Linked DNA regions of Oryctolagus cuniculus. The protein of the gene in region 4 purifies or fractionates together with the protein of the main gene of each other region. This does not show direct contact. Links are inferred from orthologs where the notes say so. Each region holds a gene or a part of one and is shown on either strand. Other genes may lie near its edges.

What was found.
Region 1: the proteins of POLR2J (region 4) and UXT purify together in Homo sapiens (affinity purification with mass spectrometry; 3 studies listed by BioGRID and IntAct, with this or other methods). This does not show direct contact. The link is inferred for Oryctolagus cuniculus from reciprocal best matches to the Homo sapiens genes POLR2J and UXT.
Region 2: the proteins of POLR2J (region 4) and MED1 purify together in Homo sapiens (affinity purification with mass spectrometry; 3 studies listed by BioGRID and IntAct, with this or other methods). This does not show direct contact. The link is inferred for Oryctolagus cuniculus from reciprocal best matches to the Homo sapiens genes POLR2J and MED1.
Region 3: the proteins of POLR2J (region 4) and DNAAF10 purify together in Homo sapiens (affinity purification with mass spectrometry; 3 studies listed by BioGRID and IntAct, with this or other methods). This does not show direct contact. The link is inferred for Oryctolagus cuniculus from reciprocal best matches to the Homo sapiens genes POLR2J and DNAAF10.
Region 5: the proteins of POLR2J (region 4) and GPN3 purify together in Homo sapiens (affinity purification with mass spectrometry; 4 studies listed by BioGRID and IntAct, with this or other methods). This does not show direct contact. The link is inferred for Oryctolagus cuniculus from reciprocal best matches to the Homo sapiens genes POLR2J and GPN3.
Region 6: the proteins of POLR2J (region 4) and RPRD1A purify together in Homo sapiens (affinity purification with mass spectrometry; 3 studies listed by BioGRID and IntAct, with this or other methods). This does not show direct contact. The link is inferred for Oryctolagus cuniculus from reciprocal best matches to the Homo sapiens genes POLR2J and RPRD1A.
Region 7: the proteins of POLR2J (region 4) and RPRD1B purify together in Homo sapiens (affinity purification with mass spectrometry; 3 studies listed by BioGRID and IntAct, counting the BioPlex papers as one, with this or other methods). This does not show direct contact. The link is inferred for Oryctolagus cuniculus from reciprocal best matches to the Homo sapiens genes POLR2J and RPRD1B.

Annotation. Positions count from the first base shown.
Region 1 is NC_091453.1:33,164,717-33,168,755, reverse strand, and holds the start of UXT (protein UXT), read left to right. Parts: upstream 1-1,239; 5' UTR 1,240-1,267; exon of another isoform or gene 1,268-1,444; 5' UTR 1,445-1,453; coding exon 1,454-1,551; intron 1,552-2,473; coding exon 2,474-2,555; intron 2,556-2,728; coding exon 2,729-2,796; intron 2,797-3,068; coding exon 3,069-3,176; intron 3,177-4,039. UniProt on the Homo sapiens protein: Involved in gene transcription regulation. Acts in concert with the corepressor URI1 to regulate androgen receptor AR-mediated transcription. Together with URI1, associates with chromatin to the NKX3-1 promoter region.
Region 2 is NC_091448.1:22,931,233-22,934,732, reverse strand, and holds part of MED1 (mediator of RNA polymerase II transcription subunit 1), read right to left. Parts: intron 2,748-3,500; coding exon 2,629-2,747; intron 1,573-2,628; coding exon 1,371-1,572; intron 1-1,370. UniProt on the Homo sapiens protein: Component of the Mediator complex, a coactivator involved in the regulated transcription of nearly all RNA polymerase II-dependent genes.
Region 3 is NC_091433.1:134,456,054-134,460,231, reverse strand, and holds the start of DNAAF10 (dynein axonemal assembly factor 10), read right to left. Parts: upstream 2,801-4,178; 5' UTR 2,508-2,800; coding exon 2,325-2,507; intron 1,762-2,324; exon of another isoform or gene 1,748-1,761; intron 571-1,747; exon of another isoform or gene 495-570; intron 1-494. Other genes in the region: RNA-binding protein PNO1, read left to right, coding at 2,983-3,189, 3,414-3,563. UniProt on the Homo sapiens protein: Key assembly factor specifically required for the stability of axonemal dynein heavy chains in cytoplasm.
Region 4 is NC_091450.1:44,084,269-44,088,450, forward strand, and holds the start of POLR2J (DNA-directed RNA polymerase II subunit RPB11-a), read right to left. Parts: upstream 2,801-4,182; 5' UTR 2,698-2,800; coding exon 2,645-2,697; intron 1-2,644. UniProt on the Homo sapiens protein: Core component of RNA polymerase II (Pol II), a DNA-dependent RNA polymerase which synthesizes mRNA precursors and many functional non-coding RNAs using the four ribonucleoside triphosphates as substrates.
Region 5 is NC_091452.1:8,131,416-8,135,585, forward strand, and holds the start of GPN3 (GPN-loop GTPase 3), read right to left. Parts: upstream 2,801-4,170; 5' UTR 2,722-2,800; coding exon 2,554-2,721; intron 1-2,553. Other genes in the region: protein FAM216A, read left to right, coding at 3,292-3,374. UniProt on the Homo sapiens protein: Small GTPase required for proper localization of RNA polymerase II (RNAPII). May act at an RNAP assembly step prior to nuclear import.
Region 6 is NC_091441.1:41,651,602-41,655,101, forward strand, and holds part of RPRD1A (regulation of nuclear pre-mRNA domain-containing protein 1A), read left to right. Parts: intron 1-1,693; coding exon 1,694-1,800; intron 1,801-1,885; coding exon 1,886-1,983; intron 1,984-3,500. UniProt on the Homo sapiens protein: Interacts with phosphorylated C-terminal heptapeptide repeat domain (CTD) of the largest RNA polymerase II subunit POLR2A, and participates in dephosphorylation of the CTD by RPAP2.
Region 7 is NC_091442.1:20,660,731-20,664,724, reverse strand, and holds the start of RPRD1B (regulation of nuclear pre-mRNA domain-containing protein 1B), read left to right. Parts: upstream 1-1,194; coding exon 1,195-1,345; intron 1,346-3,994. UniProt on the Homo sapiens protein: Interacts with phosphorylated C-terminal heptapeptide repeat domain (CTD) of the largest RNA polymerase II subunit POLR2A, and participates in dephosphorylation of the CTD by RPAP2. Transcriptional regulator which enhances expression of CCND1.

The DNA.
Region 1 (4,039 bases), on a different chromosome or scaffold from region 4:
AAATGCTGGCAAAAGCAAGGACTAGGCCAGGCTGAAATAAGGAGTCCAGAACTTCATCTGAGTCTCTTACATATTTTACGGGACCCAACTATGTCAGTCATCATCTGCTGCCTCCCAGGGTATGCATTATCAGAAACCTGGATCCAAAGTGAAGGAGCTGGGACTCGAACCAGGCACTCCACCAACATGTGATGCTAGTGTTCCAAGCAGGGACTTAACCACGGTTTAATTCTATTTTCCCACAAACTTTTAAAAGAACTCTCATGTCAAAACAAAACAAAACAAAACAAAAAAAAAAAAAAACAAAAAAACTCAATGTTCCTTTTACAGTCACTTTTTCCTGAAGGCAAAGAAAAGCTTAACAAACAGGTTTGAGAATTTGGAAAGGACAACCGAACTTTTACACGCAAATTACTTGGGAAGACTTCACAAGTAAGGGTAAGGACTCTAGGCTCTAGATATGGGAATAGCATTTGGGGGTGCGAGCATCTGAATTCTCCTCTGGGCTCAGGCCAGGACTTGCTGGGTTAGATGCTAAAGATGCAAAATACAGGCATTCAATCACTTGAGTGCATACAAAGAAAAAGCTTGCCCATTTAATTAAACACACGGGATTATTCCTAAGTACAAAATAGCAGATCTTTTGCAAACGACTCAGGGACCCTCCATTTGACTAATAAAATGAGATGCTTACACATAGTATTGCCAATCTCTGCTTAGCTCCAGTCATAGATTGTGGGCCACAGAGCTGCAATCCTCAAAGAGGAATTCTAGAAAAATGCGTCTCCATTAAAAAGTTTTTAAATGCTCATACTCGTTCCCATCACCGGGAGTGAAACGCGAACCTCTCGGGTGAAGTCAAGATGTGACTTGCCTGTCCGCCTCCCAGGCTCTGCCTTTTAAATACTAAACGCTTCATTCCCTAGCTCTACCTCCACCTGTGCGTTCTACCTCCCCTGGAAACCGCCAAATCCACAAAAGCCGCGAACAGTCCCCACAGGCTCCACGCGCTGCTTGTGCAGTTTCCAATAGGCTAGTTCATTGCCAAAGGATCTCTGCTCCCACGCCCTACAGTCCTACCTGATCTCCTTTGATTCAGTAAAGCCCTGACCTTCTCTTTTTCCCCTTGGCGGGTCTTACTTCCTTTCAGGACCGCCCCTCCCCACCTGCTTATTTGGTTGGTCAGCGCGCTTGTTATACGTCATTCACCCGCGCCACCCGGAAGCCGCGGTTATACCAACCCGTTCTTATCGCCGGCGGCCCTCAGGTAAGGGCCGCATTTTGGTATCCCTGGGTGGCCGAGTCCTAGAGTTGGGAAGGGCAGAAGGCGGAACCCCCAGCAGGACCCGAACGTGCCCATTTCCCAACGTTGAGAGGGTGGAGATGACCTGCATGAGTCCATACTGAAGTGGTCAACGTGGTCTTCCCTCTGCTCATTCCCCAGGAGCCCATAATGGAGACGCCCCCTAAAGGGCGGGTGGTTGAGGCCACGGGAGAGAAAGTTCTGCGCTATGAGGCCTTCATCAGTGACGTGCTGCAGCGGGACTTGCGGTGAGTGACAGCGAGAGGGGCGGGGCCTTCAGAATAGTCCACGTGGTGGGTGGGGCGTTTAAAGTCGGGGGCCAAGCCTTCAGATTGGTGGGCGAGACGTTCGGAGCCCGTCACCACGCGCCATTCGAAGGGGAAAGGAGGAGCGACTTCCGGGGTGCGATTTGGCTAGGACGTGGCGTTCATAGGGCGTGTCTGCGCATGCGCGGTCCCGATGTTGCTTAATGGATTAAGGGCCAAATTCCAGATCCACAGTTCTGGGGTTTGAGTTCTGGCTCGGCTACCTGCCATCCGTGTAAACATCGCACCTTGCCCCTCCTTTCTGTGCCTTATAAATTTCTCAAATCAGTAAAATGAGGAAGTTTATTACGGAACCTTATTCATGCAGTGGTTGAGTTTAAAAAAGTGTGATGCCTGAAATATGTTAAAGGTTCAAGGAATGTGAAAAGCTATTATTACTAATCTGAGCAGGAAGTAAGGCTTAGACTATGAGCATCCCGAAAGGGGTGGAGGATTTTTCTAGGGTGAAGATGAGACATAGAGATTGACATTTGGGAGTAAAGTGTAATAATAGTAAGAGCTAACACGTATATAAAGCTTATCATTTGGAAGACATCATTCTAAGTGTCTTATAGTAAACATTCATTTAATCCCAGTGCCTCCGTGAGGTTAGAATGCCACTCCTATTTTGTAGATGAGAAAACTGCATATAGAACAGTTTACTTAGTGAAGTCACACCACTAGCAAAGGGTAGAACCCAGATTCAAACCCAGGCAGTCTGACCCAGTGTCCAGAATTTTAACTTCTACACTAAAAGGCCTACTTAGAGCATGGTAACTGGAGCACCTCAAAGAATCATGGTATAAGGTTTCCCAAGGAGGACAAAGCTGCCTGTTGGTCACCATTTGTACTTTTGTCCCATCAGAAAGGTGCTGGACCATCGAGACAAGGTATATGAGCAGCTGGCCAAATACCTTCAGCTAAGAAATGTCATTGAACGACTCCAGGTAGATATATCATGGTTGGGTACTGTTTTTTTTTTTTTTTTTCATTTGGTTTTGGTATGTGTGTGATGGGGGGAGCATGGGAAGGAACTGAGAAGAGAGACCCTAGACCAAAACCTGTCACCTGACCTACAAATTGACCACTGACCCCTACCTCTTTTTCCCTGGCCCCACAGGAAGCTAAGCAATCGGAGTTATATATGCAGGTGGATTTGGGCTGTAACTTCTTCGTTGACACAGTGGTGTGAGTGTCTACCCGCCCTTCTGAGCCCTTCCTTCATGCAAGATATTTTTTTTTTACCATCTTCTATGTACCAAACACTGTGCTAGATTTTACATACCTTAGGACATAACCTAAGTACTGGGAATATGACAAGAAATAAAATAGAATAAAGTCCCTGTCTTCCCAGAGTCTCAATTTGGGGAAGGGGAGGGAGTAAAAAATTAACTAAACTGTATGGTATGATAAACAGTAATAAGGATGTCTTCCACTTCCTCTAACCTCTCTCTCCTCAGCTCAGATACTTCACGCATCTATGTGGCCCTGGGATATGGTTTTTTCCTGGAATTAACACTGGCAGAAGCTCTCAAGTTCATTGATCGTAAGAGCTCACTCCTCACACAGTAAGTGCATTCTTGAAGGTAGTATCTAAAACACCCCACCATTTTTTTAAAGAATTTATTTATTTTATTTGAGAAGTAGAGTTACAGACAGTGAGAGGGAGAGATAGGGAGAAAGGTCTTCCTTCTGTTGGTTCACTCCCCAGATGGCTGCAACTGCTGGAGCTGCGCAGATCCAAAGCCAGAAACCAGGTGCTTCTTCCAGGTCTCCCACGTGGGTGCAGGGGCCCAAGCACTTGGGCCATCTTCTATTGCTTTCCCAGGCTATAGCAGAGAGCTGGATTGGAAGTGGAGCAACCGGGACTAGAACTGGTGCCTATATAAGATGCCGGCGCCACAGGTGGAGGATTGACCTGTGCCATTGCATTGGCCCCAACACCCCACCATTTTCAACACTCTTCTCCCTTAAGTTAGAGACCTACCTCCGTTCCTCCTCTGGGCTGTAGCTGAGGAAAGGGGATGCAAAGTTCAGCCCCAGGTATAGCACATAATAAACACTCCAGTAAGGGAGCTTTGTATCATTCATTCACACAAACATATTGGGCATCTTCTGTTTACCACACTCTGTGCTTGACAGTGGAGATGCCCCAGGGAACAAGACAGAAGAGTTTCTTGAGAGCTTACATTCTAGAGGGACTGTATTATTAGACCTAAATACAACTATGACCGGATCCATGAGGCCTCAGCCTGTAAATCAGTAACAGTAAAACAGGTTACCTCTAATTTAACATGTTCATTTTCCTGCTCATTGCTGTGCTCTTGCCACAGTGACTTGCACATGCTGCTTTAAATGTCCCAAGAATGCTCTCACCTCAGGGCAGATGCCATGGCTGTTTTCTCTGCTTGCAGTGCTCTTTCCCCAGTAC
Region 2 (3,500 bases), on a different chromosome or scaffold from region 4:
AAAAGAAAATGTGTTCATAAACCAGGAAACTGATTATCATGATTGACCTTAAAATACAGAGGGCCAGTGCCGTGGCTCAGTGGGTTAAAGCCCATCCCAAATGGACACCGGTTCAAGTTCCAGCTGCTCCATTTCCAAGCCACCTCTCTGCTATGGCCGGGAAAGCAGCAGAGGATGGCCCAAGTGCTTGTGATCCTGCACTCACGTGCAGAACACAGAAGCTCCTGGCTCCTGGCTTTGGATCATCCCAGCTCTGGCCATTGCAGCCATTTGGAGAGTGAACCGGTGGATGGAAGACTTTTCTCTCTGTCTCTACCTTTCTCTGTAACTCTGCCTTTCAAATAAATAAAATAAATCTTAAAAAGAGAGAGACAAACCGTGTTGGGACTGAGTTCAGATTTACAAAAACAAACAAAAAAACACATAGAATATGCCAGAATAAGGAGGAAAAAAAAAGAGGCTCCCAAATGCCAATCTACACAATGATTTCATCAGAATAATTTGTGGTTACATTGCCTTCGCTAATCTTTCCACTAGAGTCTTAATTCAGTTCGTCTTGGGGTGAAACTCATGCACCTGGAGTTTTAAAAACTCCATAGGTGATTTTCATGGGCCACCAAATTCAAAACCCACTCGAGGGGCTGGTACTATGGCACAGTATATTCAGCAGCAGCTTGAGATACCAACATCTCATTTCAGAGTCTGGGTTCAATTCCTGGCTACTCCACTTTTGATCCATCTGCCTGCTAATTCAACTAAAAAAGCAGTGGAAAATGGTCCAAGTGCTTTGCCTTCTACTATCCAAGTGGAAGACCTGGATGAAGTTCTATACTCTTGGTTTGGGTGTGGCCTAGCCGTGGCTGTTAGGGCAATTTGGTGAGCAAACCAGCAAACAGAAGATACCTTTCTGTCTCTGTTACTCTGCCTCTCAAATAATAAAAATCTCAAAAAAAGGGCCGGCGCCATGGCTCACTAGGCTAATCCTCCACCTTGCAGTGCCGGCACACCGGGTTCTAGTCCCGGTCGGGGTGCCGGATTCTGTCCCGGTTGCCCCTCTTCCAGGCCAGCTCTCTGCTGTGGCCAGGGAGTGCAGTGGAGGATGGCCCAAGTCCTTGGGCCCTGCACCCCATGGGAGACCAGGATAAGTACCTGGCTCCTGCCATCGGATCAGCGCGGTGTGCCGGCCGCGGCGGCCATTGCAGGGTGAACCAACGGCAAAAGGAAGACCTTTCTCTCTGTCTCTCTCTCTCACTGTCCACTCTGCCTGTCAAAAAAAAAAAAAAAAAAAAACTCAAAAAAAAAATTTTGAAAAACCACTGGAGTAGTCAGTTTCCATCTTTCACTAAATATATCAAAAGGAAAGGCAGTACCTTCTTTCAGAATAGTTCTTTTGACACAGCTTCCAATTAGGGTATTATAGGCAACTTGGTGTCTGATGATATTGAGGATAAGAGGAACTCGACCAGGATGCTGAAAGGTGATTTTGCTAACAAGAGTTCCCTGCAGACTTCGACCATCGGGAAGAGGGGCATCCTTGTTGAGGAAATAGCAGTGCTGCTGACCTGGAAGAGCCTGAGCAAAAAGAACATCAGTGAGTACTATTTACTTTCCCTTTGTGCTCCAACCACAAGCTGTCCCGGAAGAAACCTGCTCCTCAAAAAAAGTACAGCAAAATCTGGGGGAGCAATAAAACCCCACAGTAAATTCTTCAAGTAGTTAGTATTATAAATGCTAACCAATTACTCGTTATTCTGGAAAGATCCCTATTTAGTAAAAGCTCTATGCTACTAGGTTCATTAGCTAACGTGGCAGCAAGCATTTGGTATAGCAGTAAAGATGGTGCATGGGTGCCTGCATCCCGTATCAAAGTGTCGTGTTTGAGTCCCAGCTCCACTGCAGACTCCAGCTCTGCTAATGGCACCTTAGGCAGCAGCAGTAATGGGTCAAGTGGTTGAGTCCTTGCCACCAATGCAGGACACCCAGACTGAATTCTGGGTTCCTGGCTTCTTTCCAACTATGGCAGAGAGCTGGGGAATGAACTAGCAGATGGGAAATATGTGTCTGTCTCTCTGCCTTCTCTATGAATGAAAATATAAAAAAATTACATCAGAAATCTTTACTAAAAACATTTCTAAATGGTTAGTACAAAATCTGTATTTTTTAATAAAACACTCCATATAATGCAGAATTGCGAAACTATTATTTTTAAAAATTCTAATTCAAGCCCAAACATGATTTTAGAAACTTTCATAATTTATACATTTTCTTCTCTTTATGTAGTTGAAGGAGGTTTCCACAGAATACATTCATGGCACTTCAAAGAATTCAATAGTATGAACACTTAATACATACTTCTAAGCTTACTCAATTTCAGAATGCCATTAAGAGAATTTCATATGAAATTTCAACAAATAATTGAACATTGTTGCTTCCTGACTTGAAAACTCATGCCTTTTTTCCTCAATAGGTTTCAGAGATTTCTGTAATTTCTTGCGTAAGTGAGGAAACACAATATGATCCAACAGTCCAAAAGGAAGTTATCTGACCTCGATAATGTTATGAAGAAAATTTCTCATCTTGGGTCTAAATAAAACCTATTACATTCTAGCTTTAGTGGGCATTACTTACAGCATAAAATCGCATGTTGTGACTCAAAGGTACTGGATCAGGGTCCTTTGACAGCTCAAATTGAGTGATCAGCTCATACAGGGGTGCATAGGTTGGCTGAGTTTCAAACAATGGAATTCCTGGAAAAACAAGAACCAATATAATAATCTCATTAAGATACAAATGTTGACCGCTCAGTATTCTCTTCATGATTTTTACATTCTTTGGCCCATTTATTCAAGAAGTACTTAATAAGTGTTACCAGTAATTTTTGAGGCCTATAAAACTTTTTTTTTTAAAGATTTATTTTATTTATTTGAAAGAGTTACAGGGAGAGGTAGAGACAGAGAGGTCTTCCATTCACTGGTTCACTCCCTAGATGGCCACAATGGCCAGAGCTGTGCCAATCCGGAGCTAGGCGCCAGGAGCTTCTTCTGGGTCTCCCACGTGGGTGCAGGGGCCCAAGGACTTGGGTCATCTTCTACTGCTATCCCAGGCCATAGCAGAGAGCTGGATCAGAAGAGCAGCAGCCAGGACTAGAACTGGCACCCATATGGGATGCCGGCACTTTAGGCCAGGGCTTTAACCCACTGCCACAGCACTGGCCCTAAGGCCTATAAAACTTAAAGAGGGGTTGGTGCTGTGGCATAGTAAGCCAAGATCTACCTGCGGCACCAGCATCCCATATGGGGTGCCGGTTGGAGTCCTAGCTGCTCCTCTTCTAATCCAGCTCTCTGCTTGTGGCCTGGGAGAGCAGTGGAGGTTGGCCCAAGTTCTTGGGTCCCTTCACCTGTGTGGGAGACCCGGAAGAAGCTCCTGGCTCCGGATCACCTCAGCTCTGGCCGAGGCGACCACTTGAGAACTGAACCAGCAGATGGAAGACCTTTCTTTGT
Region 3 (4,178 bases), on a different chromosome or scaffold from region 4:
TCAACCTTGGTACTACTCTTTAGAATCATCTGGCAGAAGTTTAAAAAACCATGATGTCCAGGCCATGCTCCAGTGTAGACATACCATAGTACCACCGTGAGACAGAATTCCTAGGGTTGTATCAAAGCAGGATACTTGAAAACACACACACCTAACAACAACAATACACACTCAGGTGATCCTGATGCACAAGAAAGGGTGAGAATCATGGAATCTGTATTTAATCTATATTTTTTCCATTGCATAACCACAGCCAAATGAGTTCTTGGAAGTGGTTTTGTAACTGTTTTATCAAATTTTTAGAATTTAGGAGAAGGAACTATCCTTCAGGTATCACTGGTCCATTTTTTAGCACACTACCTTGAAAAAATAAGTTCTTGATAGATAATGTATGGTAGAATAAAAGAAGATGCAGAGGATCCTGATGAAAATATAAAAAGTAGTGATTCCTGGCAATTAGACTATGATGGTATTTTCTATTTTCTTCTTTTTCCTATTCATATTTTCAATTAGCAATAATTGTGCCTCGGATAAACCTTATTGGCTACAATACTGCCACTGCGCAAAGCTCCTATTCATATTTTCTAAACGTTCTATCATGAACACATACCACCTTTGCTAAAAATTTTTTTTTCCTAGACTTCCACAAGTATCTCAAGAGACAAAGAGTACCATTTCACTCAATGGAATAAGTGCATTCCTTAAATGTGTACAAGTCATATATAAATGCTCTCTGGTTGAGGTTCAATTGGCATTTGCTACTAATACTTCACCTCTAAGTTTCTTTGCTATTTCAATGCTATACCAACTTAATTAATGATCAGTAAACCATTATGTAAATTTCTCAAGTTATATCCTATTTACAAACATACATCCATTCCTCCTTTTAATAAGTAATTTATTGAGTGGCTGCTCCTTACAAACCACACTCAAGAAAGGCACTGTCCTTACTCTCCAGGAGCTTACAATCTAGTGAGAGAAAAATGGAACCAACTGTATATTTCTGGTATAGATAGTAAGTCCTATAGGAATGCAATGTAAGGGAAAGTTGCTTTGTGTGAGGATCAAGAATTTCATACATCAGATAACCTGACCTGGATGTTACACTAGCAAAAGGTGACCATGACCTAAGTGATGAACAGCATAAGGAAAGGTGGAAAAGAGTAAACTATGTTTAGAAACTCTCCATAGAAGGCTTGGCTACCAAGTGAACAAGAAAACAGGCATCCAGGGGAACCTGCAGTGGGGGCGGCCCTTACATACCCGCCCAGGTAGGCTTGCTTACCCAACTGTCCTCAGGCTTCCTATCAGCAGAACCCCAACCTCCTGCGAGCTGACGCTCCCCACGGAGCTCTCAACATCACTGCCGGTTTAGCCCATCCCAGACCTGAACTCCTGATTCTAAATGACCATCGTTCTCAGGCAACCCACACCAGGACATTTACAAAGCTGTAAAGTTGTTACAATACTAGTTGTCATGCAATCTTTTCACCAGTCATCTTTACAAAATTTGTAAATCTGTTTGCCACACTCTGAGGCCCTGCACTGATGTTTCCTTTTCACGTCCCACGGACCTTGCAATGTCTGGTTTCTGCTTATCCCTCGTTTCCTAAGGAGCTAGCCTTTCTCCCATCACTAAGCTTCCCCCGGGGGGCTTCCTTTGGAAATAACATCTTCTAGTGCTAATCTGCCCTAGGAAGTTTCTGCTCATCCCAAATCTGTTTATACTCTCACAGTGTTGTGTTACGAGAACTCATTTCGGTTTGCATTAAGGCATCTTCGTTGGTTTGATTGTTTAACTATCTCTCCATGAGACTGGGGTCACCTGCCATGCGCATGCCTGCGAACAACAGGCCCTCAGCTGACGCATGTCCCATGAATCAATGTTAGGTTGTCTCCTCCAAGTATTTACAGGCATCCGGGCGCCTGCTTCTTCTCTACTTCCATGAAAAGCACTTTCTAACATGGGCCTATTAACAGACTCCAAAACCAACTAGGAACAGCCCCCAAAGGCCCCAGAAGGTAGACAGGTCACTTCCTAGAGACCTCGCGCTGGACTGCGCTGAGGGGGCAGGAGGAAGCGGGTCGGCAGGGCGCGATGAACTAGCCCGCCGAAGAGAATTCAAGACTAGAAAGCAAGTTTTTACGCCAGACGCATTCCTCAATCTGCGATCAGCTTCTCTGGTCCCACGAAGCTCGAGCTACGCTCTTGGGGAGACGCTGGACGAAGACTCTGGCCAAGACAGTTGCAGACCCCAGGATCCGCACTCGCCATCAACGGCAGTCCAGAACCTGGACCTGCGTCATCTCGACCCGGCACCCACCTCCCGAAGCAGCTTCAGGTCCCCGTGCTGGATCTCGTACAGCTGAATGACGCCGGTGCCCCGTGCGAAGTTGCCCACGGTCACAAACTTGGCGCTGCACGGCACCCACTTACAGTCAAACACTGTGTAGTTGAGGCTTTTCTGGATATGGGCGATGACCTGAGGCTTCTCGAAGGCCGACATGGTACAGCCGATTTCGCCTCCCGCAACCGCAAACACCAACCTGGAAACCAGACTCCAAACACAAATTAAGTTTGTCTCTCCCGCTAGCCGTACTCGGCCCCTTAACGCTCGAGCAACTTGGATTTAGTTATCTCCGACGTGCCGGATGCGATGCTGAGATTGCACAAGACGTTTCTTCACAGAAAGCTAAAATCTGATTATATCCCTTAAACGCAGTATTTAACACATACGTATTATCGATGATGAAACACTTTGGCTGTTAATGGAGCGGCCGGAGAGCGACCACAAGAATCAGGCATATCTTAAGACCGCCCACACGGGTATGATTCAGGTCCCCAGCGTGGGACTTCTAAGGAAAAGGGGCGGAGCCCTATGCTTGATTGGCGAAGCCCGGCTCCTGCGCGGTGCGCTTGCGCAATGCAGCCGTGCACGTGTTCGAAGTGGGAGCGCCGACCCTGCCCGGAGGTTCCCGGAGATGGAAGGCGAGATGGAGACACAGGGTTCTGGGTCCGAGGACGGCTTCACTCAAGTCACTCGCAAGGGTGGCCGGCGGGCGAAGAAACGGCAGGCTGAGCAGCTGTCCGCATCCGGGGAGGGCGGGGATGCGGGCCGCATGGACACCGAGGAGGCCCGGCCCGCCAAGAGGCCCGTCTTCCCGCCCATGTCCGGGGACGGACTCCTGGTACTGGCGGGGCCCCTGGGACAGGCACCGAGGCCGGGCAAGCCCGTGGCCTGGCGGCAGTGTTGAAGCCCCCCGGGGCGGGGGGAAGGGACTCGTCTTTACCGTGAGACTGTTCTGACGTTTCCTAAGTTAAGTTCAAGGAAAGTTGTTGAGGATCAGCTGTCACTTTACGACTCCACCCCCACCCTCCAGCCGTCTCCTCACTTGTGTGTGTGTGTTTACAGGGTGGGAAAGAAGAAACGAGGAAGATTCCAGTCCCAGCCAACAGGTACACCCCGCTGAAGGAAAACTGGATGAAGATATTCACTCCTATTGTAGAACACTTGGGCCTTCAGATTCGCTTTAACTTGAAATCAAGGAATGTGGAGATCAGGGTAAGAACGCCAACCTTTTCCCAATAGTCTGGATTTCCCTGCTACACGGTGAAAAGGCATGCAGAGACTTGCCTTAAGATCTTCCCAGGTGCCCTCGGAAGCTGCATTCCACACAGATAGCAGTAGAATTTTGTGTTTGTGTTGGACGGCGAGAAGGCTTGGTGAAGAGATTGTCATAGAAGTGTGTGAGTAGTGAACTTCAGCGCCTGCTGCCCTATAAACACTGTATATTTAATGAGATTCTTTTAGGGCAAATAAGTTTTTGTTTTGTTTTGTTTTGACTCCATGTTGTTAGTCCAGGATTTAGGCATTTGAAGCTAATTGATTTTGGGCTTCTTTTTCTATTTTACAAGAATCGATGTTCAAAAGTACTACTTTCCCTTTGTAAAGCTTTGTATACCATCATCAGAACGAGTATAGTTCCTCTCTGTTCCTGACCATGCTAATGACACAAAAGAAGCACTGTTCTATTGGTAAAATTTAAAATAGCGTGGGACGTGGCAGTAGAGCCCCGCTCTGCTTCCATTGCCACCTGATTCAGGCTTCTGTGGCTTCAGGCCTCATTTTCCAGACCACAATGCTGTTTTTTGTTTTTACAAACTTTTAAAACATTTT
Region 4 (4,182 bases):
GAAGCTCCTGGCTCCTGGCTTCAGATCGGCGCAGCTCTGGCCATTGCAACCATCTGGGGCATAAACCATAGGATGGAAGACCCCTCTCCCTCCCTCCCTCTCTGTGTGACCCTGACTTTCAAATAAACGTTTTTAAAAATGTGCAAGTATTATGTGTCAATTAAAAATGTTAAGGGGCCAGCACCTGTAGTGTCAGCATCCCATATGGTTCGAGTCCCGGCTGCTCCACTTCCAATCCAGCTCTCTGCTATGGCCTGGGAAAGCAGTAGAAGGTGGCCCAAGTGCTTGGGCCCCTGCACCCACATGGGAGACCCGGAGGAAGCTCCTGGCTTCGGACTGGTGCGATTCTGGCCATTACAGCCAACTGGGGAGTGAACCAGCAGATGGAAGATCTCTCTCTGCCTCTCCTCTCTCAAGTAAATAAATAAATCTTTAAAAAAATAAAAATTTTAAAGCAGCGGAAGAGTCCATGGGAGCTGGTGCTGTGGTGCAGTGGGTTCAAGTCCCGGCTGCTCCACTTCCATCCAGCTCTCAGCTGGGGCATGGGAAAGCAGTGGAAGATGGCCCAAGTGCTAGCGCTCCTGCACCCGTGAGGCTCCTGGCTTCAGATCAGCCCAGCCCGGGCCATTGGGGCCATTTGGGGAGTGACCCAGCAGATGGAAGACCTCTCTCCCTCCCTCCCTCCCTCTCGGTCTTTCAAATTAAAAAGTCCATGGGAAAGGAAATACAAAAGGCGCTGTGTAGGCCGGCGCCGCGGCTCACTAGGCTAATCCTCCGCCTAGCAGCGCCGGCACACCGGGTTCTAGTCCCGGTTGGGGCGCCGGATTCTGTCCCGGTTGCCCCTCTTCCAGGCCAGCTCTCTGCTGTGGCCAGGGAGTGCAGTGGAGGATGGCCCAAGTGCTTGGGCCCTGCACCCCATGTGAGACCAGGAAAAGCACCTGGCTCCTGCCATCGGATCAGCGCGGTGCGCCGGCCGCAGCGCGCCGGCCGCGGCAGCCATTGGAGGGTGAACCAACGGCAAAGGAAGACCTTTCTCTCTGTCTCTCTCACTGTCCACTCTGCCTGTCAAAAAAAAAAAAAAAAAAGGCGCTGTGTAAACTAAAAACACGTTCATACCAGAAGCCACAGCGTGAGCACCTGTGATGGTAATGGGTGCTTCATAAACACGTTGCTGTGGCACAGGTAAAGCCACCTGCAGTGCCCGCATCCCACATGGGCGCCAGTTCGAGTCCCAGCTGCTCCACTTCCAATCCAACTCCCTGCTAATGCGCCTGGGAAAGCAGCGGAGGACGGCCCCAATGCTTGGGCTCCTGCACCCCCATGGGAGACCTGGAAGGAGCTCCTGGCTCCTGGCTTCAGATCGGCTCAGCTCCAGCTGTTGCGGCCACCTAGATAAGACCTAACTCTGCCTCTCAGATAAACTTAAAGAAAAAAAAAAAGGAGAAAGAAAGAGAGGCACAGAGAGGGACGCACACAGGTCTTCTCTCCGCTGGTTCACTCCACAGATGCCCGCCACAGCTGGGGCTAGGGAGACGCTGAAGCTAGGAGCCCACGAGAGAGCCAGGTCTCCCTGGGCCATCACCTGCGGCTTCCTGGGAGGTGGAGCAGCCAGGGCGGGAGCAGGCACTCCCCCCGCGCCACAGGCCCGCCCTGGGGGCTGCACGGCGCCCGGGGCGCCCGGGACCACCACGCCTGCTCCCCTGGTTGCTAGTCTGTGCCCAGGGAGGCTCGAGCGGCCGACAAGGGTCGCACCCCAGCCCCCGCACCCTAGGCTGCTCAGACTCGGAAGGCATTGCCCCCGCGAGAACCCACTTAACCTCTCCCTGTGCTTAACCACAGCGCGCGTGCAAGCAGCCCATTTTTCCAGGTGCGCACAGTGCGCCTCGGCCAGACCCAGCCCACACCACCGCCTCTTAGGATGACCAGGCGTTCCCGGAGCCAAGCCAGGGGCAGCTGATGGGACAAACAGGGCACACTCAGCGGCTACCACCTCTCATCACGAAGCCGCAGGCCCCAACCGCGCACCTGCGCCCTCGGCGCAGCCCCCGAACACCCTCCTCCTCGTTCAAGCTCCACCCGCGGCTGACCACGGAACGCACGCAATCCACGCCACAGCTTCCTAGACGCGCGCGAAACCCTCCCCAAGCGACTTCCCCACGAGCGAGACCCGCAACGCCTGCGCCCCTCGGTTTGGCCAAGCCACAAACACTCCTTCCCACGCGCAACCCCAAAGCCACGGTCCGCGCGCTCCCACGGGCGCCCGGCCAAGCCACGCGTCCGAGGACCACAGGGCGGGCAGGCGGGCGACCCGGGAGCCCGGCCCAGATGTGTGGCCGCCAGACCGCGGGCCCCGACAGGGCGGACCCGAGCTCCGGAGCCCTCGCGCAGGCCGCCGCGTGGAGGGAGGACGCGGGTGGCCGGCCGGACGCCACAGGGACGCCTGCCGGGGCCCCGCGGAACCACAGCACTCTGCAGCAGGACACTTTGCAAGTCCCCGCAAGTGCCGGCGTGCCCAGGGCACTGCCCCCCTGGGCGGACCCAGGCCGCTCGGACACTCGAACACTTCCGACCCCCGAGCCCGCAGGACACGCAGGAGCTGCGGGCCTCGGCCCGACCCTCCGCCGCCCCGCCGGGCTCCACTTACTTCTTCTCTCCCTCGAAGAGCAGAAACGACTCGAAGGCCGGAGGTGCGTTCATCCTGGCACCGCGGCCCGCCGGCGACTAAACGGCCGCCGCCACCGCCTCCAAACCCGACCGCGCGACTGCTTCCGGGTCACGCCGGCGGCGCCTACCGCGCCAGGACCGGCTCACTGCCCCCTAGCGGCGGGGAGGAGCTAGCGCAGGCGTGAGAAAAATTTTCCCCGATGCGCTCTGCGCGTGCGTCAGCCCGGAGGCCACGCCCCCGCCGCGCTCCACGCCTGGGCCAGGGGGCGCGGCTCTGGGGGTGCAGGCAGTCGGAGCGTTGCGCTGCCCGCTGGGTCCCGGCGAAGCGGGAAGCCGGAGCTACGCCTGTCTCCGCTGTCCATGCTTCTTGATCTCTTCTTTGGAAATGTGCCTTGGAATGCACCGCAGCAGGCCCCGGCACAGATACAGAGCCATGGGGTAGTAGGAGGCCGTGGCTGGGGGTCGAGGAAAGTCTTGTGGTCAGAGTGATAGGCGTGGACGGCCCCTCCAAGGCACCTGGCCAACAGCCACGAGGCCCTGGTCACCGGCGTCTTGTTGGCGGGGGCAGCTGGGTGAGCGCTGGGAGGAGCAAGTGCGACAGGTGTGACAGGGGGGTGGAGGGATACAGGTGCACCACCCCGCCTTGAGCTCCTGATTGGTGCCGAAGGCCCTCCCGGAGCTGTTCGGCCAACAGGGACTGGGGGCTCAGAGCAACCACAGGGACCCTGGTTGCAGCCTGGAGCCCCCACGGGAATCGCATCTCCCTGCGCGGGGGCGGAGGGGGGGACTTAGTACCTGGGAACTGCCGCTCTGCCCGGGGCCCGTGGGTAATGAGCCACGCCCTCTCGGCTCATCCTGAAGACTTTAGGACGCTGCCCTACGGAGACCTGGAGGTGACGCCTGGCCAGGGTCCAGAGCAGGGGATTCCCCCCCACCATCCTGGCCACCACCATGGACGGCTGCTCTCCTGGGGGAGTGCTGACCCCACTCGCCGGAGCGGCACACCCCCAGACTCTTCTGCAGGTCCATGTGGGGTGCCCCACGAGGGGATGGTGTGACCACAGCCTGGAATAGCTGGGCGAGGGGCACAACTACACAGTGGCCTGGGCCCCGGCATCCCGTATGGTCGCCGGCTCGTGTCCCGGCTGCTCCACTTCCAATCCAGCTCCCTGCTAATGCACCTGGGAAAGCAGTAGTAGATGGCCCAAGTGCTGGGGCCCCTGCACCCATGTGGGAGACCCGGATGAGGCTCCTGGGTCCTGGCTTCGTCCTGTTGCGGCCATCTGGGGCGTGAACCAGCAAATGCGCTCCGTCTCTCCTTCTAACTCCAACTTTCAAATAAATAAATCTTTATTTAAAAAAGAGAGATGCACATGGGCTAACAGGTGAGGAATGGATGGATGGATGGATGCACTGTGTTCTCCGTGCTGCTCTGGGAGGGAGGCTGAAGGCTGTGAGCACAGGGGGCGGGGTGGGGCAGGGAAAGGGGGTGTTGGGGTGAGGGAGCCGGCTGGCTGA
Region 5 (4,170 bases), on a different chromosome or scaffold from region 4:
GTGGACTCATGGGAACTCTGGGGAAGGTGCTTCCCCACTCTGCCCTCAGGTGTCTCCTCTCTAACTGGGATGCCCTTCAAGATAACCAAGGCCCATCACTGCTCTAACGTGGAAGAAAAGGAACTCAAAGGGGAGGCTTCTGGTTACACGGTGCAGCACCCAACACATCGTGTCTCCACTAGAACCAGCAAGGTCCAAACAAAGACTTGGGTAGGACGGCCAGGGACGGTGTCTCTTAGTAGGGGATACCTGAGCCTACGGGAACGTTTTGCCAACTCAGAGGAAGAGCATTTCTAGATGAGGGAACACCAAGGCCAATATACAGCCTGGAGGTGGGCTAGCAGTTTGCAACTTAAAAAAAAAAAAAAAAAGATTTTATTTTTTTATTTATTCATTTGGAAGGCAAAGTACCAGAGACAGGAAGAGAGAGAGAGAGGAAGAGAGAGAGAGAGAGAGAGAGAGAGAGAGAGAGGTCTTCTATTCACTGGTTTACTCCCCAGATGACTGCAATGGTCGAGGCTGGGCCAGGCTGAGGCCAGGAACCAGAACTCCACCCAGGTCTCCCATGTGGGTGGCAGGGACCCAGCTCCTCGGGCCCTCTTCCACTGCTTTCCCAAGCACATTAGCAGGGACCTGGATCAGAAGTGGAGCAGCCGGGACTGAACTGATGCTCATATGGGATTCTGGCATTGCAGATGGCAGCTTAACCTGCTACACCACCACACTGGCCCCTCAAATTCTGGTTCAGAGATTCCTTATCCCTTGTGTAGTCCTTACTACATCACATAAAAATCCTGCATCTACTTGTTTATCCCTCCCACCCTCTGTCAAAAGAAATAATTCCCATCATGCTCTCCCCTTAGTGCCTTCACACACACTGTTTTCTCTGCCTAGGAAGCCCTCTCCATACACCGCATTGTCTTCTCATTCCTTTTTTATTTATTTTAAATTTTAAGACGGAGGGAAGGAGGGAGGGAGGGAGAGAGAAAGATCTTAATCCAGATCTGCCACGCAGCTGGCAGGAACTCAGTTTCCCTTTTTTTTTTTTTTTTTTTTTAAGATTATTTATTTGACATGCAGAGTTGGAGGGAGAGGAGGAGAGACAGAGAGAGAGATCTTCCATCTGCTGATTCATTCCTCAAACGGCTGCACCAAAGCCAGGATTCTATCCAGGTCTCCCACGTGGGTGGCAGGGGCCAAACCACTGGGCCACTTCCTGGTGCTTTTCCAGATGCATTCGCAGGGAGCTGGAGCAGAAGTGGAGCAGCCGGGAACTGAACCAGTGCCCGTGAGATGCTGGTGTCACAGGTGGCAGCCCAACTTGCGGCACCGTGGTGCTGGACCCAGGAGCTGGCACCAGGCACTGAACCCAGACGTGCAGATGTGGGACACAGACCTCTTAACTGCTAGGCTAACAGCCAGTTCCCCATCCAGCTGTATCTTAACTGGCAGTCACCGTTCTTCCCAGCCAGGCTGTGCCCCTGGGCAGGAGACGGCCAAATCTCAGTCCCGTGTGGAACCTCCTGCATAGGAGGGGGCAGTGGCTCAGCAGGTGCTTCTGCTGAACACTGACGCCTCCTGACACCTCCACAAACTCCAGTGTTTCCCCAACTACGTTATTTGCTCAATATCTTCACTGGTTTTACAGTATTTGAGTGCTACTACCACCATGCCCTTAATATTTGTTGACAAAAAACATCATGGGGGTTGGCGCTGTGGTGTATCGGGTAAAGCCCCCGCCTGCAGGGCCGGCATCCCATATGGGTGCCGGTTCAAGTCCCGGCTGCTCCACTTCCAATCCAGCTCTCTCTGCTGTGGCCTGGGGAGCAGTGGGAGATGGCCCAAGTCCTTGGGCTCCTGCACCCACGTGGGAGACCTGGAAGAGGCTCCTGGCTCCTGGCTTTGGATTGGCTCAGCTCTGGCCATTGCAGCCAATTGGGGAGTGAACCAGCGGATGGAAGACCTCTCTCTCTCTGCCTCTCCTTCTCTCTAACTCTGACTCTGACTTTCAAATAAATAAAATAAGTCCTTTTTTTAAAAAATGGAGCTACGTTAGAAGCCAGCGTAGCTTCACCGCAGTGGAATCCAGAAGGGGAAGGGGGAATGTTCTGAGCATACGAGCCGATGTTCCGTAACGCGGGGTCCCACTGCCATCTAAAATCCCTTCAAATACCAGAAGTCCACGTCCCAGGCTTTGGGAAACACCCACAAAGACCCCACTTTAGTCTCCTGGGAGGGAGAAAGGACAGGATTCTGGAGTCAGAAAAACAAAACAAACCCGGATTCCAGTTCAGGTCCCGACTCGTACGCGCGCGACCTTCCCTAAACGGGAATAAGAAGACCCATCTCCTAGGGTTGGGCTACTCCAACCCGGGGCCTAAGCGTCCACCAACAACCGCCACGACCCCCTTGCAAGACGACAGGACCCCGAAGACCGAGAGCAGAAGCGAACGGCGCGGAGTCTCAAGGCCCTCGGTACACGCCCTTCTCTCAGGACCGAACCCTCGCCTCACACGGGTTACGATCTTTCTCTCCTTTCCCACCAAATCTCACCTTCCCGCTGCCGGCGGGGCCCATGACCAGCTGCGCGTAACGAGGCATGCCGACCCTCGGCTTCTCCAGGGCCGTACGGCACACTTCCCGCTTCAGCCTTGGCGCCACGCCCACCCACTTCCGGGAGCGCGAGGTGCGAACCAATCGCAACCGAAGCTCCTTATACATTTCCGGGTAAGTCACACCTCCGGCTACGGAACGTTCCGCGGGCCAAGTCCCGTGAGAAACGCGTCCGGGAGACACGGAAGGGGCGGGGAGGAGAGAGGTGGGAGGGAGGGAGGGAGAGAGTGAAGGAGGAGGTCTTGCGCGTGCGCAGAAGCGGCTGGCGGAAACCCGCGGTTGGGTAGCCGCCGGAGCCTGGTTGCCAGGGAGACAAAGGATAACGGCAAACGCTCAGCATCCCTGATTCTTGGTTTGCGCATTGGCGTTGGGCTCGGACGGTGCCACCCAAGCTTTGCAAATGTGCTGAGGGTCTGGAACCCTGAGGTGGAAGGCACCTCGTGTTCAGGGGAGCGTGTGCGTTTCGTTCCCGTGACGCGTCCCTTGCACAAAAAGATGCGAAAGCACAGACTCGCCACCAAGTAACGCACTCCCGCAGATCCGGGGTCGTGGGTCTCCTAGCCCTCCCAGCTTCCCGAGGTGTCGCCCCGACACCTCCCGCCTGACGCACGCGTGCAGAGGGGGCAGGGGCAGGGCCCGCTTCTCCCGCACGCAGCTCGCCGTCCGGGCGCCGGGGAGATGCCGGGCCGGGGGCCGGGGGCCGACTCTTCGGCCGAGCCGCCCGCGGTGGCCGGGACCGAGGGCGGCGGCGGCGGCGGCGGGTGAGGCCGGGGGCCCGGAGGGGCTGGGGGGACGGCGCCCAGCCCGGGGTCGTGAGCGCCCGGGAGGGCGGGGGCGGGCGGCGGCCGTGGCCGGGGGGGGGGGGACGCTCGGAGCCGAGTGCGAGGACTGCGTGGAGTTTTCGGGCCCCGCCGGGGACGCTTTGGCGTCGGCCCCCGGGGGTCGCCCAGAGGCGGAGGGCGGGCGGCGCCCCCGGGCCGCGCGGGGCCCTGTGTCTGAGGTTGGCTGAGGGGCTGTTAACGGCGGGGGCCACGGCCCTTGGCAGGGATCAGATCTGGGAACACGCGGTAGCAGGCGGGATGGAGGGCATTCGGTCTTAATTTGAAAAAAAGGAAAAAAACTGTACCAAATTACAACATTACAGGCCAAGGTATCCGTTCCCGCATCCCTTAATCACTGTTCAAAGGGCTGCCTTCAAAACCCCAGTTATTTTATTTAAAATAGAGTAAGAAAATACCATGGATTAATAACGCAGGAGCCCGAACCAGTTTTATTGAGCTCGCTGTAGGCATTAGATTGGGAAGCTATAAAGGTAAGACCAAATCTGGCCTAGAATAAATAAATACATACAGACAGACTGGAATACATCCTTTCTAGTATGGTGAAAAGCTCAGATAACACACTGCGAGAAAACTCGCAGCCATCAGGATTTAAGCAGAATTGCAGGTGATCTGCAAGACATACATGAAAAATAAAACGCATATGCAATAGTTACCGTTTGAAGTATGTTCTTAGTGCTTAAGAAGTTTGTCAATTATCATGTATTTCTCTTTTTTA
Region 6 (3,500 bases), on a different chromosome or scaffold from region 4:
GCTGTAAAGAAACATAAAGCATGGAAGGACCTGTAAGGTATGAAGGAGCTAAGTTACATGATAAAGATATAGAGAAAGATGAAGAATATGTAAAGAGAGGTAAAGAAAGACTTTTGTAGGAGGTATCATTTGAACAGAAACTCAAGTGAGAGATGAAATGAACCATTTGTAAGAGGAGAAGATGCTAGGCAAGAGGGAATACTTAACAGATGCATTGCAAAAGCTGTGCTGGGCATGTTTGCAAATCAACCAGAAGATCTGTTTGGGAGAAGATAGTAGGAAATGTGGACTGAGGTTGCCAGGAAGCAGAGCATATCCTTAAGGCCCAGGGTAGGGAGTTTGATTTCAATATTGTTATGATTGGTAGCTCTTGGAAAGATTGAGAACAGTATGATCGGATTTACATTAATAGGATGCTTTCTAGAGACCCAAGTGAGAGAGCAGAGGCTGAGAGATCAGTGACAAGACTTAACAAAAATCTAGGCAAGAGCTAATAACATCTTAGTCTATAGTGTTAATGATAAAGAAGAGATGGTTTCCAGTTTTTATATATCCAGTGTTGGGATCTCAGTGTAAGTATCAGTTCTTCAAGGATTCTTCCTGATCTCTCTTAAAATGGACTGGGCCTCTCTCTCTCTCCTTTGTACCATGTTCTCTCTTGTGGTACTTAAAACAGTTCTCTGTGTCAAAGACTTTTCCTTGATCAATACATACTTGCTGAGTCACTTGAAAAGTCACCAACTGGGGATCTCTCTTAGCCTGCTTAGCCCGCATTAGGTTAGGAACATCTTCTTTGTAACCGCTAATGACCAGTACTAAAACTTTAGCATTGCCGGCGCCGCGGCTCACTAGGCTAATCCTCCGCCTTGCGGCGCCGGCACACCGGGTTCTAGTCCCGGTCGGGGCGCCGGATTCTGTCCCGGTTGCCCCTCTTCCAGGCCAGCTCTCTGCTGTGGCCCGGGAGTGAAGTGGAGGATGGCCCAAGTCCTTGGGCCCTGCACCCCATGGGAGACCAGGATAAGTACCTGGCTCCTGCCATCGGATGAGCGCGGTGTGCCGGCCACAGCGTGCCTGCCGCGGTGGGCATTGGAGGGTGAACCAACAGCAAAGGAAGACCTTTCTCTCTGTCTCTCTCTCTCACTGTCCACTCTGCCTGTCAAAAAAATAAATAAATAGGCCGGCGCCGCGGCTCACTAGGCTAATCCTCCGCCTAGCGGCGCCGGCACACCGGGTTCTAGTCCCGGTCGGGGCGCCGGATTCTGTCCCGGTTGCCCCTCTTCCAGGCCAGCCCTCTGCTGTGGCCCGGGAGTGCAGTGGAGGATGGCCCAGGTGCTTGGGCCCTGCACCCCATGGGAGACCAGGAAAAGCACCTGGCTCCTGGCTCCTGGCTCCTGCCATCGGATCAGCGCGGTGCGCCGGCCGCAGTGCGCCGGCCGCGGCGGCCATTGGAGGGTGAACCAATGGCAAAGGAAAACCTTTCTCTCTCTCTCTCTTTCTCACTGTCCACTCTGCCTGTCAAAAAAATAAATAAATAAATAAATAATAAATAAATAAAAATAAAAAAATAAAAAAAACAAAACCTTTAGCATTGTATCTGCAATTTTTCTTTCATAAATGGTTAAAAGCTTTTTAAAGGAGTCTGGGAGTATATCTTGATCACTGAGGTTAATATATGTATTTTTTTTTCCTTTAGTGAAACTGATGAAAGTTGTAAGAAGCACCTCGGAAGAGTGTTATCTATTTGGGAAGAAAGGTCTGTTTATGAAAACGATGTATTAGAACAACTTAAACAAGCTCTGTGTGAGTATATAATTTTGATCACTTATCATGAGCTCTACTTAGTACATGTATTCTTCATTAAAACTTAAATGTTCTTCCAATTCAGATGGTGATAAGAAGCCTAGAAAGCGAACTTATGAACAGATAAAGGTGGATGAAAATGAAAACTGTTCATCTCTGGGGTCACCAAGTGAACCACCCCAGGTACAAGTTTTTATCTTTAAGAATTGCCTTACTTTTACTTTTTTAAAAAGATTTTATTTATTTATTTATTTATTTGAGAGGTAGAGTTATAGACAGTCAGAGGGAGAAACAAGAGAGAAAGGTCTTCCATCCACTGGTTCACTCCCCAAATGGCTGCAACAGCCGGCACTGAGCCGATTTGAAGCCAGGAGCCAGGAGCTTCTTCTATGTCTCCAATGTGGGTGCAGCGGCCCAAACACTTGGGCCATCTGCTGCTTTCCCAGGCTATAGCAGAGAGCTGTATTGGAAGAGGAGCAACTGGGACTTGAACTGGCGCCCATATGGGATGTGGGTGCTGCAGGTGGAGGATTAACCTTATACTGTGCCGCTGTGCCAGCCCCTACTTTTACTTTGAATGACTTCCAAGCTTTATTAATTTCAGTGTTTAAGTTCTATAAATTGATTTTTAAATTACAATTCTGGATGCCAGAAAGAAGCTACATAAATATTTGTTACTATGTGATGTTTGCTATGTTATAGGAGTTCACTTAAAAAAAATTCATTTTTAGAGATAAACAATGTTCCTTCAAATATTTTTGCTGTTAAACACATAAAAATGAATGTAAGTGACAACTGTGTTTTTATACAGTTCTGTGTAACTCTGAAAAGCCAGGCAATTCTATCTGTGGAAAAATAAGATAAATCGCAATCATTATCTTAACTCCCTTTATCTGCTCAGATTTATATGTTTTTTTTTTTTTTTTTTTAAGATTTATTTTATTTATTTGAAAGACAGTTACAGAGAGAGGTAGAGGCAGATAGAGAGGTCTTCCATCTGCTGGTTCACTCCCCAGATGGCCGCAACGGCCAGAGCTGCACCAATCCAAAGCTGGGAGCCAGGAGCTTCTTCTGAGTCTCCCACGTGGGTGCAGGGGCCTAAGGACTTGGACCATCTTCTGCTATCCCAAGCCATAGCAGAGAGCTGGATAGGAAGAGGAGTAGCTGAGACTAGAACTGGCGCCCATATGGTATGCTGGCGCTTCAGGCCAGGGCTTTACCCACTGTGCCACAGTGCCGGCCCCTATATGGTGTTTCTTAACCATTCAGTGAACTCTAAAAGATACTCCAAACAATTAAAAAAAAAAGATTTATTTATTTGAAAGGCAGGGTGACACAGAGAGAGAGAAGGGGAGAAAGCAACATATTCAGTGCTTCACTCCTCAAATAACTGCAACAGCTAGAGCTGAGCTAGGCCGAAGCCAGGAGCCAGGAATCTCCATCCTGGTCTATCATGTTGGCAGGGATCCAAGTTCCTGAGCCATCTTCCACTGCCTTCTCAGGCTCATTAGCAGAAAGCTGGATTGGAAGTAGAGCACTGCTCTGATAGGGTATTCTGGTGTTGGAGGCAGCTGCTTAACCCACTGTGTCACAATACTACCCCTCATTTTGAACCTTCAGTTAAGTAGGCATTGAGACTTTAAGTTCCTCCTTCTGTGTTTCAGCCATATAGGAGAGAGCTGGATTGGAAGTAGAGCAGC
Region 7 (3,994 bases), on a different chromosome or scaffold from region 4:
GGGCTCACTATGGCAGCCACGAGGATGGTGACTAGCGTGGAGGAGGGGCAAGTGCATCTAAGCAAAGAACTAAACAGGAGCAAAAGCCGGCGTCAGCTAGGAGCGTGTCTCCTAACCGGGGTCTGCCCTCCACTGGGACCAACATTCTCGAAAAGCTAATCCCTCCCACCACCTTCGTGGTAGCCACACAGACAAAACTTCTCTGCTGTCTGGTCCACTGGGAATGTAAGATTTCCTAAACAAGTGTAAGGGTCAGAGTTCCTGAATGAAGGCTCAATTAAGAGCCAAGAGCACAAACGTGTTTCATGCGGCGGCGCTGTCACACTCAACGTCAGAAATGGACGCTAAAACCTGGTCCTAAGGCTGAGTGGGCGCTCAACAGGTGAGAAACCGATCGAGACCTAAAGCGTGGAGACGTGAAAAGGGAACGTGGAAGGCTTAGAAGAACCAAAAAGAGCAAGGCACGTACGGAGGAAAAGTGCGGCCCGGGGCCTGCCAGGTGAGAGAGGAACCACCCCTCCCAACCCTGACCACGGTATTGCAGCCTTAGTGTCCTCGCTGGAAGCCTCTCAAAAGGCTCTCTACCTCTGAGCTCCCTCTCGTTCCCGCCACTCTTCCCTTACCTCGTCTTCCAGCCTTTCCCTGACTCTCCCGCCTCCTCCGCCCCGCCGGAAGTGACGCGCTAACTAGCGCGCCGTACCGCGCCAGAAAGGTTCTGCGGAGAGGGAGAAAAGGTTCCGGTGAGACTCACTGCGCAGGCGTGTGGGCTCTGGCGGTCAAAGCGCCTTCCGGGGGCCGAGGAACTGCGCTGCCTGTCTTGGCCCGTCTGCTTTGAAGTTCTCTGTGCGAAGTTCCGAGAGGCAGCGATCTCCTAAGGAACGTTTTTCTGCAGCTCCGACGCCGGTCGGTGCCCCAGCCTCTCCAGCCCTTGCCCTTTGACCCCGCTCGCGCGGCGGGGTGAGAGGTCGGGTGGCCATCTTGTGGCGGCGGCGCGGGCGGCTGTTACTGCGGAGACCCATCCCACCCCCGCCCCCACCCCCACCCCCACTCCCGCTCCCGCCTCGGCACTCCGGGCCGGGTGTCAGCCGGTAAAGCGGCCCGCAGTCTGGCAGCTGAGGCCCGCGCCGCGTGCCGTCGCTCTTCTCGCCGCACTGGGCGGCCCAGGCCGCTCGCTGCCGGGCCTCCGCCGCCACCATGTCCTCCTTCTCCGAGTCGGCGCTGGAGAAGAAGCTCTCGGAGCTGAGCAACTCTCAGCAGAGCGTGCAGACCTTGTCCCTGTGGCTCATCCACCACCGCAAGCACGCGGGACCCATCGTCTCCGTGTGGCACCGCGAGCTCCGCAAAGGTAGGCGCCCCCTTCCCCGCCCCCTCGGCCCTCGCGAGGGTCGTCCTGTCTCTCCATCCACCTGCCCCCGCTCCGGCCCCTTTAGCTTCCTCATCGGCCCTTGCTTTTCCAGGCCTGGGCCTCTCTCTGATCGCCCTTCTGAGACCAGGGACAGTATTGTCCCGGTTTCTGGAAGAATGCAGCAGGGCCTGGGAAGGTTTAAGGTTCCTAGCTGAGGTTTCGTGGAGCAGAGCTTAGGTGCAAAGATTTGCAGTTTTCCTCCTGACACTTAATGCCCGTCGGTATCTCGGCTGCAACGCTCGGCGGAGGATGAAGGGAACTGGCTCTGGTCTGTTGGCGGCCAGGCCCGGCCTGTGCTGGGCATCGGGACTAGAAGCTGGAGAGCTGTGCAGTCAGGCTGCCTAGATCCAACCCTGCCTGATGCCGGGTGAGTTTCCTTGTTTCCCATGAGGGAGACAAGGGCAGCTGCCACTTCACAAAGCCTTTGCTCCATGCCAGGCACTGAACTGAGGCCTTTGTCTGTATTCTCGGGCTGAGCGGCCTGTGAACTGGGTAGCCTCCCTCTTAGAGAAGTCGAGGGGCCGTTCCTCCTCGGCTACGCTGCCTGTGCAGCTGCCCTGGGATCCAGGGCCTGGCACGTGCACGGAGTTGAGCTGCCTCTTGCCAGGCACTGAGTTGGACATGCGACAGCATGGGACTGGCACCTGCTGACCCCAGCGGCTTCACCTGTCTGGAAGGCAGAGGTGGTGATAACAGAATTCCTCTGCCTGTCAGGAATGGGCTCCCACGTGCGGTGTCCTGGGGAGTTCTAGAACAGAAGAGAGGCCGCTCGGAGCTGTGCTGGACCCCTGTGTGCAGTAGCCGTCCGTGGCACAGGAAGTGACTGTGTTCTCTGCCACCCTCTTTTATAGATGAGGACACTGAAGTAGCTAAGTGATATTTTCAAGGTCTTTGAACGGAGACGGCTCAGACTCTTAGCAGGCTGGCAGACGCCAAACTCCTGGGCTTTTTCAGGAGACAGTCTCAGTGCTCCAGCGGCACCTCCAAATGTGGGCTGCAGTGTGTGTGGGGGGTCCTCTCAGCCTCTTGGGCAGCTGGTGCAGAGAGCCTGGAGCTCCCAGAGCCTCCTTCGTGCACCCCACTGTGCCATCCGAAGACTATTTGTAACATCTGAGATATGGAAAGAGGGGGAACCACCTCCATCCTGAGTCCTGCTGGGTAGGATCTCCTTGATATTACTTTTGTGAAAACTAATTGATTCCTCACTGTACTTATTTGACTTACTGAAAAAATGACAATTTAGAAGATGCATGGGTTTAAGAAGTTATGAAACTCCTTTATCTCTCGTCACACAGGCTAGAGCTCTGTGTTGTAGATAGGCTGGCATTATTATCCCCATTTTATAGGGTAGAAGGTTAAGATACTGGGAGAGTCAGTGCCTTGTTCAGAGGCGGCGTATACCTGGACGTGAGCTCAGGATGGTCTGATGCCAAAACTTGTACTTTTCAAGTCCCCAGTGCCTGGGTGCCCTTACTAAGGAGGCAGTCATCTGGTTCTTCCATTTAGTAGAATCAGTCATCGCCTCCACCCCATCACTTGGTTGTGTCTTTTCCGTCAGATTGTGTTTGGGGCAGAAATTAAACTTTCTTGTTTCTCTGTAATGCTGCATCATTTAGCAAGGTGCCTGCCTGTCACACAGTTAAAGAACAGCTTAAGTGTTAAATTGTGGTCCCTGATACCATTTTGAGTAAAGGATCCAAACAGCACTGACCAATACAATTTTCTGTGACTGTAGCAGTGTTTTATATCTGCCCTGTCTAGCAAGGTACCTGGTTGTCACATGGCTGTTGAACATTAAAATGTGTGACTAGGGAGTCAATGTGTGGTGTGGTGGGTTAAGCTGTCACTTGCGACACCAGCATCCCATATTGGAGTGCAAGTTTGAATCCCAGCTACTCTGCTTCTGATCCAGCTTCCTGCTAATGTGCCTGTCAAGGCAGTGAGTGATGGCCCAAGTACTTGCGCCCCTACAACTCACATAGGAGACCTGGGTGGAGTTCCTGGCTTCAGGCTGGCCCAGCCCTGGCTGTTGTCATTTGGGGGATGAACCAGTGAATGGAAGAGTGTGTGTATGTGTGTGTCTGTCACTATGCCATTCTAATAAATAAATAAATAAATAAATTTTTAGAAAGTGTGACTAAGGAACTAAGCTTTAAATAAACCGAGTTGAGAACTCAGCCCCAAGTTTTGGTAGCCAAAATTCAGGTGTTCAGTAGCCATATGTGGTTGTTACTGACACTGTATGGAGACCGTGCAGAGCTAGCAGACATCAGGATGCAGCTGTCTGATGGCCAGGCTTCCTTCATGAGCTGAAAATGCAACCCACACTAAAGTAGGAAAAGAATTTGTGCCCACATGTTCAAATCCACTGGTCCCTTGGGTTCTAACCCACCTTGCGTCCTTAAGTGTGAATGTTGCTGTCTGTGGTCAAGTCATTTTCCCCACAACGATGTTTGACGTTCACATACTGTCTCTTGAATTGTCTTGAAAATCTTTACAAGATTTACAAACAATTACTTTTTTTGGATTAAAATACTACTTCTATTTTTTGATACATTTGATCTTCCTTTTATTTCTAAACTTTGTCTT